Linked DNA regions of Oryzias latipes. The protein of the gene in region 1 binds, or shares a complex with, the protein of each later gene. Links are inferred from orthologs where the notes say so. Each region holds a gene or a part of one and is shown on either strand. Other genes may lie near its edges.

Region 1 (6,631 bases):
TACACTGTAGTTTGTGGATTAAAGGGCCTATTTCATGCTTTTCCAATACTTTCACAATGAACTATATCCATGTATATGATAATATATTACCTTTGGCACACTAAAGAATGATCTTTTTATGAAATACGAGTTATTTTCACACTTCATTTTCCAACCCGGAAATAAGACGACTTGGTCTCTGAGGCTCCGCCTTTCTCTCTGTGTGGGTGTCGCCCATTGCATGACCTCAACATAGAGCCGGCCTTGGCAGCGTGTCTGAGTCTCCCAGGAAAACAAACAACATCCAAACCTTTACAGGGATGGATGTGCATACTGTGCAGAGTAAAGGAACGTGTTTTGACCAATCACCACTGGCACCACGCAGAAAGTGTGTGTGTGTATTCCTGAATAAACACACAAACACAAACACAAACACACACACACACACACACACACACCCCCCCACACACACACACACAGAGTATTCCTCTGAAAACCTAAGACGTTTTTAGAGGAATACTCAGAAATGTAAGAACAGATCAAAATACTGCTTTGAGGTTGTTTACAGTGAAGAATGAACATTATAATACACTTAAAAGCTAAAAAAAAGTTGATTTTTCATGACCCTTTAAGGAAGATACATGAGCTCGATTTCTTATGTTTGGAATACAATCAAAAGCTTTATTGTCACCAAGCAGAAAAAATGAACAATGAAGACTTAAATATTAAGAATGCACATGTAAAATATTAGCAAAATAAGATGATAAAACTCTTGAGCATTATTATATACAGTCCACATGATCACTTTTTTAACTGTACCTATTTGCATAAAGCCAATATAACCACAAAAGGTCCTTAACAAAAGCCTGCAGGGTTGAAAGGTTCAGCCAGAGGTGGCAGACTGATCAGCATGCCTTCTGCATGTGGTCTGCTTCAATCCAAATGAAGTGTGCTAGTCGGAAGCAAACATGTCTGGACTGAGATAAGCAGATATAGAGACTGATGCCCTCCTAAACACGCAGCTATGGGCAAAAAAGCGAGCAATGATACCCCTGACAGCACAGAGAGTATAAATAGAGCTGGCAAATACTTGACAGTGAATGTTGACGCACACTCAAGTCTGCAAATATCGTATTAAATTCACATATTAGCATTAAATAAGTTGATGTACTGGCTTAAAGGCTTATTATGAACAAAAAGGCTAAGTGTCAAAATGACATTACCATTTATTCCGAGTTGGACTTGGCACTAAGTCGCTCTTTCGATGTTGCTAGCTGCTATCGTGACACAGCAAATGTGAATTTCTGTCTCGTGCAACAGAAGGGTGGTTTCCAGAGTCGAGCTTTACGGTTTAAACTGTTCTCGTCAGTGAAATGACAGCGCAGTGGCCAGTGCAGACAGACATCAATGGATGTGGGCAGGGCACACAGCTAGCGCCGCTGCTAACGCTAGCTACATGCTCCTACATGACGCACATACATAGCTAGCTGGCCGGGCTAACATCACAATACACCCTAAATATTTAATGCAAATATTATGTAATTTGGGTGTTTAGTGCTTTTATTTTGATCTAAAATGACAGAAGCGCGCGCGTGTCCCACGGCGTAACGTGGTTTGGCAAAAAAAAAAAAAGGGGGTGGAGAAACTAGGGGCAACAGTGGTTAACAGTTTAAGCAACCAGCTAGCTACCGCACCTGCGCTAACAAGCACGCGCCCGAAAACAGTTTTCCAGCGTCGCGCGGGTGAATTGCTTGCCGATGCCACCTTAAAAACGCTACAAGACTCACTGCGAAGGTTGGTGACAAGTTCTGCGTGACTGGCTCCTCCAGATTTCCAGGCCATTATTAAGCAGACTTTGCGGAGTAAGTAGACAGCAGCTGTCAGTGCCGCGCCTGCGCCAACAGTTTTCCCGATGAAGCTCGCAACCTCGAGCGGAGACGGCGGAGCGGATACGTCACCAGACATCCAAATGATTTTATTACCGGGCCGCCTTTCACATACACTCCCTTTTAACAAAACACGTACAGTTTAATAAAATACAAACCCAATTAGATACGTACTGAGCCCAGTGTCAGTTTAAAGAGGGAATTCCTCTGTCTCTGCTTTATTGGAATTGTTGGGTAATAAAGAAGTCGGCCGCTAGGGGGAAACAGATTATCTATTAATTTAAAGAAGAATAGCACACTGTGATCTGGTCTTCTCGGGCCACCGTAGTTACGTATGAAGCAGCAGGCGCGTAGTTTCTCGTGTAGTCCGTAAACTGAAAACAACACTTCAAATTTTAACAAAAAGGCTTCAATTTCCATGGAGAGCATAAATGCCAAATATGTGTCTCAGAAAATCAGTAAGACGAGATGGTGTCCGGTTTCCTATTCTTCACTGCAACAACCAGAAGTCTTTGCTACGGGCTCGTGGGACAACGAGGTTAGCTAGTAGTACTACTACTAGCGCAAAACCACACAAATTATTAAGATCGCTTGCTAATTAACTCAATTTTTTTTATTAATTTAAATTATTTAAATACACTTTAAAAAATTGTTTTGATTCATTTGTCGTCGTGATTTAAATGTTCACTGAGTTTAATGTGAAACCCGTTGATTTATAGGACAACAAGGTGTCTATCTGGTCCATTGGAAATCACAACAATTCTGGATTAGAAGACGGATTTGAAGGAGACCCACAAATTTTATGTGAGCACAAACATGGCGGAGATGTTCTGGACCTGCAAGTAAGAAACCCAAAAGCTTCTAATGACGGAATCATCGGTGTTGATGTTTGATCTGTGGAGCCATTTCTTTATTTAGGCCTATAAACAAACTAAATGAAAAATAGAAATGAGCACAAAACCAAAACGAAATTTTAAATGTTCCCTTTTCTGTCATTAAAATTATTCAGCATGTCAAATAAGTGTCAGCAGTTATAAAGTCATAAAGATCCTTCAGAAGCTCACACCCAAATGTTTGATCAATTTGTGTAACTATTTGATTACATTTTTGTTCAATTCTTCTGGATTTTCCCACTTTATTATGTTGGATGGTTCACTCAGATATGTGTGTTTTTAACATGTTTTTGTAGCATTTTTCTCATCATGGAGGACAAAAGGATTTAAGCTTAGCACTGCATTTACGAGGACTTTTTTATTTAAATTGTAATGGATAAGGACCCGGTTTGCGATGCAGCAACTGCCATTGGCGGGCCAAAGTCTCCCTGTTCCGCACGCAGACAAATAGATCCACATCCGTCTTTGTTTTCCTTTGTCTGAGCTGGAATCTAAATCTAAACTGTACGGCAGGTTGTTTTTTTTTCTTGTGCTACGCTAATGTTAGATTGGGGTTGTGAGCGGCTGTTAGGTAGCAGGAAAGCGTGTAAACAAAGGAATGCTGGGAAATCATGGTAGGGTCACTTTCACGCTAACAGTCCCATCCACAACCCAGAAACAAATTTCTAATGAGCTTCTGTTGCTCTGCAGAAATTATGTCTTAAGGAACAACACAGGGTTTTTGATTTTTGCTAAAAACTGCATAATCATAATAAAAAAAACACTGGGAATGTTTTTACAATAGGTTTTAATTTTAAATGATTTTAAATGTGTACATTGTTTGGATAAAGTAATTTTTCTTGTTTTTCTTTGTTTCATGTTTTAGTTCTTGGACCAGGAACGGATGGTCTCAGCGTCATCAACGGGAGCAGTCACTATTTTCCGCTATCATCCAAACACTCATGTACGTTGTTTCTTTTCGGTTTTCTTGAGGAGAAAACAAAATGTCATGTTTAAAAACGGGTTTCCTTTTTGTTTCCTGAACAGACCATTTCAGTTCTGCAGCACTGGGCGAGGGCGCATAGCTACCCTTGTGACAACGCGCCCTGCACCGCCTTGGTCTGCAGCAGCCCGGAGATTGTCACTGTCGGGGAGGACGGCAGGATCGTGGTCTTCAGAGCCGACCAGGAAGGAGCGGTCCGGGTCATCGGTGAGATGAGGACTCGGATGTTACCGCCTCATCAGGAGTCGAGTCTAAAACTGTCCGTTGTGTTTGTTAGAGAATGCAGACAGCAGCACAATTCACGCGGTGACTTACCTGAAGACCACGGAGGTTTTGACGGTGAACTCCATTGGCCAGCTGAAGCTGTGGGACCTCAGGCAGCAAAGCAGCTCCCCATCGCAGATTCTGTCCCTGTAAGAGCTCTGAAATTTGATGTATTTATTATTTTTTTATGTATCTTTATCCTTTCAGAAACACACCTTTACTTGTTTGTCTTTTTTTCCACCAGGTCAGGAGACAGAGCTCCTCTGCACTGCGTTGACAGACATCCCAACCAGCAGCACATCGTAGCCACCGGGGGCCAGGACGGCATGCTCTGTGTGTGGGACGTGAGACAGGGGGGCACGCCCATCTCACTCATGGAGGCACACTCGGCTGAAAGTCAGATCCTTTCTTTATTTCACTTTAAACATATCTCTGGTTCTGTTTCACTAACTTTCCTTTGGATTTCCTCGTCAGTGTGGGAGGTTCGCTTCCACCCCACAAACCCGGATCACCTGTTCACGTGTTCGGAGGACGGCTCGCTGCTGCACTGGGAAACTGCCTCGCATTCCGAGATGCCCTCATTCTTACAAGGCAAGTCGTCATCAGTGAAGAGGCACTCCGATGAAAATTTTGTTTTTTGGTGTTTCCAACATGTTCTTTTCTTTTTTCTGATGATGGAGGCAGTTTGAAAAAAAAAACCCAGCTCGCTGCTCAGAGTTCTTAGCAGCATAATCATAATAAAAAGACCACAGGGAAGGCTTTTACAATGGATCCAAAGATGATTGGAATTGGAACTTTAAAAAGAGAAAGCCATGGATCAGATTTGAAGCTTTTATCTTTATGCATTCTTCTTTCTTTATGTCACTTAAAACACACAGGGTCAAATCAGGATCATCTCAAATTGACTGGAAAACCAGATTTTAAAATTGAAACTCTGAAATACAGCTGTCACTGTTTCGCAAAGGTGGTTTGGCAGAGTTTTAAACCAGATACCCTTCCTGTACTTATTCAGGCTAGTGTTATATGGGGGCGGGGCTTTGAGCCCATTGGTTACCATGACATGATTGATGTTGTGTGATAGAGGTCATGACAATGTCATTTCCACTTCAAAGGAGGGATGACTCGAGGTTACATTGTGTACTTTTGAATGTAATTTTTTTCTGGAAATGTTTTTCATTCACTTTAAGCTTGAACATATAGACTCTTCAGTCTGACTCCTTTTTTTTTTTTTTAATGCGTCCTCTCCATTCATTTCTGTGCAGAGCTCCGAATATTTTGACAACAATTTCTGATTTCGCTCCCTGGTGTCTTTGACTTTCCAAGTAGAGATTTAGCTAATTTTTATTTCCTCCTTCCTCCTCAGCGTTGTAGCTCTCTGAGAATTATTTAGACATTTCTCTCTCTGGTTGTTGACTCTGAGGACACAGTCATGACTTTGCACATTCCTCTGCTTTGTGTTCATCAAACATCCCTTCACTTCAAACTAAAACGATCTTGTTGACAGCTCAGAAGTTCTCTAAAGTCTAATTACAGCTTATCAGTCCTGATTTGTACAACAGAGATTTGTGTGTTTTGGCTAAAAACAAAGTCAGTCTTTTGAAAGGGTTAATATGAGACAAGATTTGTTATGAAATTTTAAAGAAGTTTAGAGTTTAAAGCCAATGACGCTGAAACAAATACAGGGACAATAATCTCAATCCTAGAGTGTAAACTCTGCATTTTTGATAGAATTTGGGGTAATTCTGAGAATATTTGCAGTTGGGGGTGAACGTTGGATTGTTTGAACTGTTGACAGGTGGCAGGAACAGCAGCGTGATCTCCCACGGCGCGCTGACCCCCGCTGGCGGGAACCGCCCCCTCAGCAGCGCCTGGCTCTGCGGAGATTCTGGCAAAGGCTGCCTGGAGACGACGCACATGCTGCCCAGCCAGACCATGTCCGTCAACAGCCTGGACATCATCGGACAGTGTCTCGTCTGCGGCACCGACGGAGAGGCCATTTTTGTCAACAGACATGTCCCAGTTTAAAAAATAAGTGTCTTTTGTGAGGAAAGAGATGTTACTGTCCTCATGTTGTGTTCTGACTGTGTTTTGTACAGATTTGATTTAAAAGGTTATTAAATTACAAATAAACGCTCAAATAAGTCTAAAAAGTTGTTTTATTGTCAGTCTTGTTTTTTTATTTTCCAATATTTACGATTATTTGATAGATTTGTATTTACACTGTGTAAAAAAAAAAAAAAAACAAACAAGTCAGCTGCTAAGAACACAGGGAAAAATGGTCTTGATTTCAAATTAAATGTGTTAAACATCTTAAAGTAATACTTCCTCACAGAAATTCTATTTTTTTTTTTTACTTGACTGTTGTTTAATCATCTTTTGAGGACTAATACTCACAGATGAAGACAAACATATGAAATTATACTGCCTACCTTAAGGAAAATTCATAGTATTATGAAGCACTAGTCATTTTAAACAATTTGAAACGATTTTTTTTAAAGATCTTTTTCTTGTAATCGTTTTATTTCTGGTTTGCTTTTTATAAATTTTTAAGCAATGGGTTGTTTTTGATCTCATTCCCTGTTTGTTTCTTGACCCTTGATAGTTTTATTTTGAAAGCGGCGGCCACC
Region 2 (6,852 bases), on another chromosome or scaffold:
AACGCGTTAATTTCCTTTTCGCGTCGGTTGGTTACTTCCATGAAGTCGGTTCATGTCTGATAACGCACACGGTTATCCCACGTCATGCCAATGATTTTCAAAAAAAAATAATAATAAATCAATTATCAGAACTTCAACCCTATTATATTTTTAAATTTAGATAGCTTTTCACAAATAGTGGACTATTTAAAACGTGGTGCGATCTGTTGTCATGGTAACAGCTACAGGGCTTGCAGCGACTTTGCTCTGCTCAAATTACCGGTAACTACATTTGTCATTTTTGCTATGATAACATTTAGTTAAAGGGCAGAGTCTGTTTGAAAGATAGTTCTTTGAGGAAGAAGGTTTTGTTGATGTTTAGGAGATCCAAATACTGCCTGAAAAATTGAACCAGCACAGAAACAATCTTGATGGTTAAAAAATTATGTTTTTATAATTTTTATTCTGAGGCCAAAATTAAAATAAACCTTTTATTTCACTTTGGCAGAACTCCCCATCCCTGTGTATAAGAGGTTACATTCAAACGGCTTGTAAACTTGCCATGTTAACAAGATGTACAATTACTGTGAGACGGTGGTCGCCCCATCATCATTAGAGGATTGTTCAGGATTAACGTCCAGCAGAGCAGAATGTAAACAACAACACCCAAAACCAAAAACCCCCCATTTCCCGTGAAAGCCAGAATCTGCTCGGAACAACAGATCCTGTCAACACAAGCCTTTGGCTAAACGTATCTGCCTCAAATCATTCTGATTAGGGACTAAAAAACTTTCTACATCGATGCAAAACCATTTGATTGAATCTAATGAGCATTTAAATGTCCCAGAGATTGAAGCTGATTCTGTTAATAACCAGAAGGACTCAGATAAAACTCACCTTCAGTGCTAAATTTATGGATTACAAATCTCCCCACAGGCTCTAAGTAGAATGAAACTGATTGGTTTTCGGTTTAAAATGATATCAGAGACAAGAGTAACTCTCTTGTTTGCCTCTTGTGGTTTCTTCCAGAACTGACCCGATTACTATTACTTCAGTATTGAAGTCATACAGACTAAGGTTTGGTTTTTGTTTCACTGGAGTGTGATGTCATCAACAGAAAATGACTTACTTCCAGCTCAAATCAAATCAAATCAAGTCAACTCAGTTGGTATTTTTTCCACAATCCAGACGCCGCCATGTTGGAGCCAGATGTCATGGGTAAGCAGTGATTGGTTAGAGTTGGTCTGAGTCAACATTTCCATGGTAATCCCTCTCACCAATCAGTTGTTAGAAGGCCACACCCCTAGCACTTAGAAGTAGGCTACACAAAATCTGTCAAAGGTTTCAAGAGTTGCATGTGGCACCACCCACTTTTTTTTAGACTTCTTATTGGTCAGTTTAAAAAAGGCATCAGTGCAAGAATGGTTATTCTGGAAAATAGAATGACTGATTAATAGTCTATGGGATTTTGGCTTCTTGGAGCCAGCAGGTACTTCCTGTTTGGAACCCAAACGGGGAGGGTTCACTCAGTCCAGATCTCATATATACAGTCAGTCTTTCTATAAGAATCGTTGAGGGCCAACGTGTTCAGATAAAGAGGACAATCCTTAGTTTGGATGGTTCAGAATTTTTCTAAATATTTCAGTTTGCTCCTAAAAAAAATTTTTTTTCTTCTGATGAATCTACAGCAAGGAGGGTGGACAAAACACACAAAAACAAAATAAATGATGATAAAATGGCTAGCTTAAACAGGTTTTGCTAACTTGGATACTTTATGGCAACTTTTTAAACACCACAAACACTTAAACACAAATATTCCCAGTCTTTTAACGACTAGAAGCCTGTATTATTCGGATTTCTCTTGGTGGTGGAGCAGCATGTGCTGCCCTCCATCATCTCCACTCACTGCATTAACACAGGACAGCATCTACAGAGTAGTACCTACCAGCTGTTGTCACAAACCTTTACTGCCCCATGTCCCGAATAAAATCATTGTCTTAGGCTCCGGGCTTGCAATAATGATGCATTTCGTAGCATCCATTAAGATTATTCTTAAGCAATTTTGAAAAGGTTTATGGAAATATAGTATGAAAACCAATATAAATGAGTGACAAATTAGCAAATTCAAATACGTTCCATCACCTAAAGCTATTTTCTTTGACATTCTTTGACTTTAACAAACAATAAAAAAGAAAGAAAGAAAGAAAGATACGCAACAAAAGAAAGAGTTTTAAGTTCCCAGCAAGGTCGTCTAACCGTCAGCCGCATAAAGATTTTATTCTACAAAATCAAAGACAACATAAAGGCTTTTGCTTTAACTTCCAAGTTTCAACCTCAACTGTAGATTTTGAAAACAAACCTATTGATCTCCTTTGACTGTTCTCCTGCACATTTATTCTGTAGTATGGATACATTAAATGATCCCCCTTTATCTTATCAAACGGTGATACCTGAGAGTGGGTATTCTATCCAGCCGGGATTCGGGGCTCCAAGCCAGAGCATCCACACGCAAATCATGATGAAAAGCTCGCAGGACGTTAAACTCGACTCCTTCCACCTCCATGTCCTCCTCCTGCAGGGCCACATTTGGTGTCATTAAGGTGACAACAAAAAAAAAAAACCTCCAAACTGTGCTGTGTCAATCTGTGTCAGAAACCTGGAAAAGGCAGGTGGCCACCACCACAAACTGGTTCCCACCATAGGCCAGGAGGGAGGCCGAGGTCCCTGAGCTGAAAGGACTGAATTCTACCACATGGACATAATCGTCACACGGCACCGTATAGGAGGGACTGCGAACAGATTCCTCCTGCATGTTTATCCCTGTCACACAACAGAAAGAAAGGAAACAGATTCCTATTTTTGTTCATTTTTACAAAACAAAAAGAGATACAAGCATGAAAAAAGTAACAACTTTAACATTTTTTCTTTATACATCTCCGGAGCTCCTCTTGCTCAGTTTACTGATCTTTACTCTTTCCACATGTTAACATAAGAGATGGTTTATATGAAAACTCCCAGCACTCTTATTTATTTATTTTACTTCATATCTTTTTTTGGTACTCTAATTTACCAAAATCAGAAGTAAAAAAGATGTTTCCAATAAAAAAAAAGTAACAATAAGCTTTGGATCAAAAAAGTTTTTTTTATATACAGATGGGTAAATTGACCAGATTAGTGCAGAATATATCCCTCAATATATTGATTGGTTAATAAAAGTAATGCAGTTCTATTGCCTCTAACAACTTTTTTTTGTTGCACCAAACTACTTTAACTAAAAACAGTACATATATACTATACTTTAATAGGTTGTATTAGTGTTTTTATTTTATAATACAGAGGTTTAAGATGAATCTAAACAAGAATCAGAATCTATACCAGACTGGAGGACTAACACGTCAAGTTAAAATATTGGCTTGTTGCTCTTTAGCAAATATGCAGTAAGTTTGCCTCTTTTAGGGCATTTTTAACAAGCTACACTCACAATTCTGGTATTGTTTAGCCTAAGCTAAAAATGAATGTGATGAGCAGGCAAGATTAATAGAATACAAATAGTGTATCGTCAAAACCAGAAACTTTAACAGGATTAAAATAGTACATTTTAAATGTTCAAAGAGAACAATATTTTCTTTTCCCGTGATGATAAATTTACGAGTTTAAAAAAAAGAGAAAACGATTTATTTATTCGCAGGAGCAGAAAGAGAAAGCGACCACGATGCTAGAAGCTAATACGAAAAAGAATGGCGCTGTTTTGTTTTAAACCGACTAGGCACAGACTAGTTTTCATAAATAATAATTTTCTGCTTATTTCTTCTAAGAATACATATATTACCGGCGCGTGCGTTTCCTAGTTGCCCGCGCTTGAAGTGTTTACCATTTATTTCCGCATACGACACGGAACGTACCAGTAGTTGGAAAAAACCAAGGGGAGACTGAAAGACGAAAAGATAAACGAATCAAATTATAGACAACATTAGAAAACTTGGAACAAAAATATAAATCGACAAATATGTTCCTAAACATAAATATAATCAATCTGGTTTGAACATTTGATTCTGATTTATTTTTTATTGTTGGAAGCGTCCGATGCAGTTTGCTGAAATCTGATTGGCTAGAAGGTGTTAAACGTCATCGTCATTTAAAATTTCAAAACAGCTGCTCTACGGTGTGCGCCTAGTTCGGCAGAAACATTGAAACACCACAACAGGTTTGAATATTTATTTAAATAGGTAATATTTTATTTTATTTTTATTATTGTGACTTTTTATACCTGAACCTTATACGCATATATATTTATACAGATACATATTTATAGAGGATTTAAATAAGCTGAGAATACAAAACCTTTGGGGGGGGGGGGTACTTTGAACAAGGTTACTGTTCTTCAGTGCAAAAATCATTTGAGTTGACCATTTTCTTGTGCATTTTTTGCTCTAAATAATAACGTGTTTGATGCAAAGATAGATGTATTTATTGTGTCTTCTGTAACCTCTTACTTAAGGATAAAATGGAAGCTTTAGGAGAAAGACTTAACCTGATGGTGAAAACCTTCAGGAGGGAACGCCACAGAGTTTCACAGTCTGAAAGGACCACGGTTCATGGAGCTGACAGCATGCTGATGGTTCTTCAGCTGGCCATGGCCGACGTTAACAAAAAGGTAGTAGTCTGTGCTCTTTCCTGTTAAATGTATAAATGCTGTTCCACTTTATTAATCTCACAGAGGAGAAATTTACCTGTCATGGCCTCTCTGGAGAAAAACAAATCACCAAGCAAGTAAATAAATAGATACATAAATAAACCGTTTTTATGACCTAGTTACACAGAGGAGTTGGTCAGTTTGATGAAATAAATGACCTGCGGTAACATTCATGCCTACACTAGGGGTGTCTGAATATTTTGCTGAAGGAACCTCCCAGTCCCTTCACAGTCAGCTGCAGTGGGTGAGAGCTGTTGTCCTGGATGGATGTGAGGTTGATTGACATCCTCCTCTCACCCACCGAGTCCGACCTGGTCCTCCTGACCAGCCTATTCAGTACCGGTGCTGCTCGTTTCCCAGCAGAAAAACGGCATAGAGGGGAGCAGAGGCAAGCACAGAGTCAGAAAAAGTCCTGAGCAGAGTTCAAACCACCTCCGTCTCCTCAGAAGTTGGTGGTAACTTTGTCCCTTCTTACAAAGGTCATCAGTATATTGCTAGGGTGAACACCTAGGCCAGGGGTGTCAAACTCATTTTCACCGAGGGCCACATCGGCATAGTGGTTGTCTTCAATGGGCCAGATATAAATGATAAATGTAACTAAATGTAATGAAAAACAAATGTACCTACTCCTCAATGTTAAATAACTCATTTATTTGTTTATTATAACTTTTTAAAGTGACAATTACAGTTGCATAGAAAACATATTTGCTTGCTACTTTAGCATAAATCCTTTTAAATTTGATTCTGACAGGTTAGGTTATATGGAGAGTCCTAATGTATAGTTGCCCAATCCCATATTTCAAGTCCAATTCTCCCTAGATATGAATAAATACACACCAATTTTTAATTTTTTATTTTAAGAAATTGGCCACGTTTGGCCCGCGGGCCTTGAGTTTGACACATGTGACCTAGGCACTTGAAACCGTCAACCATGACAATGTCGGTTCACTGGTGTGTGTGGCTGCCGTTCTTTGTCATTAAAGTACATTTATAGAATAGAACTGTAAAGAACCACTCAAATAACAATGGTGTTTGTGGTGTTTTTAACATGTTCTTGTGGTATTTTTCTCAGGATGGAGAACATATATAAACAACATTAAGCTGAAACATTGAATTTCTGAGTATTTCTTTATTCAAATTCAAAACCAGATGCTGTTTGAAAATGATCGTATATTTGTGACGTAGAAAATAGCTCCGTTCTGATGCATCCTCTTACGGACGACTAGATCCATGGACGTCTTTGTTTTCCTCGTCTGAGCTGGTATCTGGCTCAAACCTGTATGGGTGGATAGCTCCAACATTGCTGGCCATCTTTGTTGCACCGCTAATGTTAGTTTGGGAGTGTGTGAAGCGTTAACAGGAGGGAAGCCATAACCGTATGTTACGTATGCTACACCATTGAACCAAACCTTAGGGAAATTGAATCCTTGCATTCCTGCTGCATACCAGCCTGTTTTCATTGAAAGTGTCAAACAATTGTTCTAAATCCACAGAGAATTTATTATTTTATCACATGACACCAGAATTGTATTTTTACTTGCTTAATGGCAAATCAAAACAAATCTTTTTTCAGATTTTGTTGATGTGGTCCCACCCACAACTGATGGGGGTGAATTGCTAATGAACTCTGCAGAAACTCTGTCCTATAAAACGTCACAGATTTTTAAAATTTTGATTAAAAATGCATAATCATAATTAAAAGTCTACTGGAAATGGTTTGAAAATAGATCAGAAGATGATTGGACTAGGTCTTAAAGGATAAAAAAAAACAATAAATAGAGCTCAAATAATTTAAATGTGGTTAAAGCACATTAAACTCTAAATTAACATATAAAACTGTTGATGATTTGTTGTTGAGGTGAACTCCTATGTTTTTACGAGGAGGGATGAATCCTATCCAAGCCCTGAGACAGACCATCATCAGAAGTGGTGACACTACCACTGCTTTCCGATTGAGACCGCTCATGGCTCATTTTTGGCAGAAAAAGGTCCGTCTGTGATGGAAAGGATCGGCTCCGGCGTTACAGCTGCTGCTTTCTCTTTTCCTGCGACAGCGCGGCGGAGAGTTCCAAGTGTCTCTGAGTGATGTCCTGATGGCCTGGAAGCACTTATTGGTCGAGAAGCTTCAACTGCCGCCCCCCAGCTCTGCACGCTTGGAGAACCACGATGTCATCCTGGAG

Evidence for each region. Proteins that work in one complex are often made in the same cells at the same time.
Region 2: nup43 (region 1) and nup37 share a complex: the UniProt entries of both Homo sapiens proteins name them as parts of the nup107-160 subcomplex of the nuclear pore complex. The link is inferred for Oryzias latipes from reciprocal best matches to the Homo sapiens genes NUP43 and NUP37.

What each region holds. Positions count from the first base shown.
Region 1 is NC_019882.2:17,709,306-17,715,936, forward strand, and holds nup43 (nucleoporin Nup43), read left to right. Parts: upstream 1-2,165; 5' UTR 2,166-2,283; coding exon 2,284-2,403; intron 2,404-2,584; coding exon 2,585-2,707; intron 2,708-3,623; coding exon 3,624-3,701; intron 3,702-3,784; coding exon 3,785-3,947; intron 3,948-4,017; coding exon 4,018-4,153; intron 4,154-4,248; coding exon 4,249-4,400; intron 4,401-4,478; coding exon 4,479-4,595; intron 4,596-5,799; coding exon 5,800-6,029; 3' UTR 6,030-6,158; downstream 6,159-6,631. Other genes in the region: pcmt1 (protein-L-isoaspartate(D-aspartate) O-methyltransferase), read right to left, coding at 1,767-1,944. UniProt on the Homo sapiens protein: Component of the Nup107-160 subcomplex of the nuclear pore complex (NPC). The Nup107-160 subcomplex is required for the assembly of a functional NPC.
Region 2 is NC_019881.2:20,073,875-20,080,726, reverse strand, and holds the start of nup37 (nucleoporin Nup37), read right to left. Parts: upstream 3,899-6,852; 5' UTR 3,809-3,898; intron 2,800-3,808; 5' UTR 2,792-2,799; coding exon 2,636-2,791; intron 2,552-2,635; coding exon 2,430-2,551; intron 1-2,429. Other genes in the region: parpbp (PCNA-interacting partner), read left to right, coding at 4,484-4,633, 6,727-6,852. UniProt on the Homo sapiens protein: Component of the Nup107-160 subcomplex of the nuclear pore complex (NPC). The Nup107-160 subcomplex is required for the assembly of a functional NPC.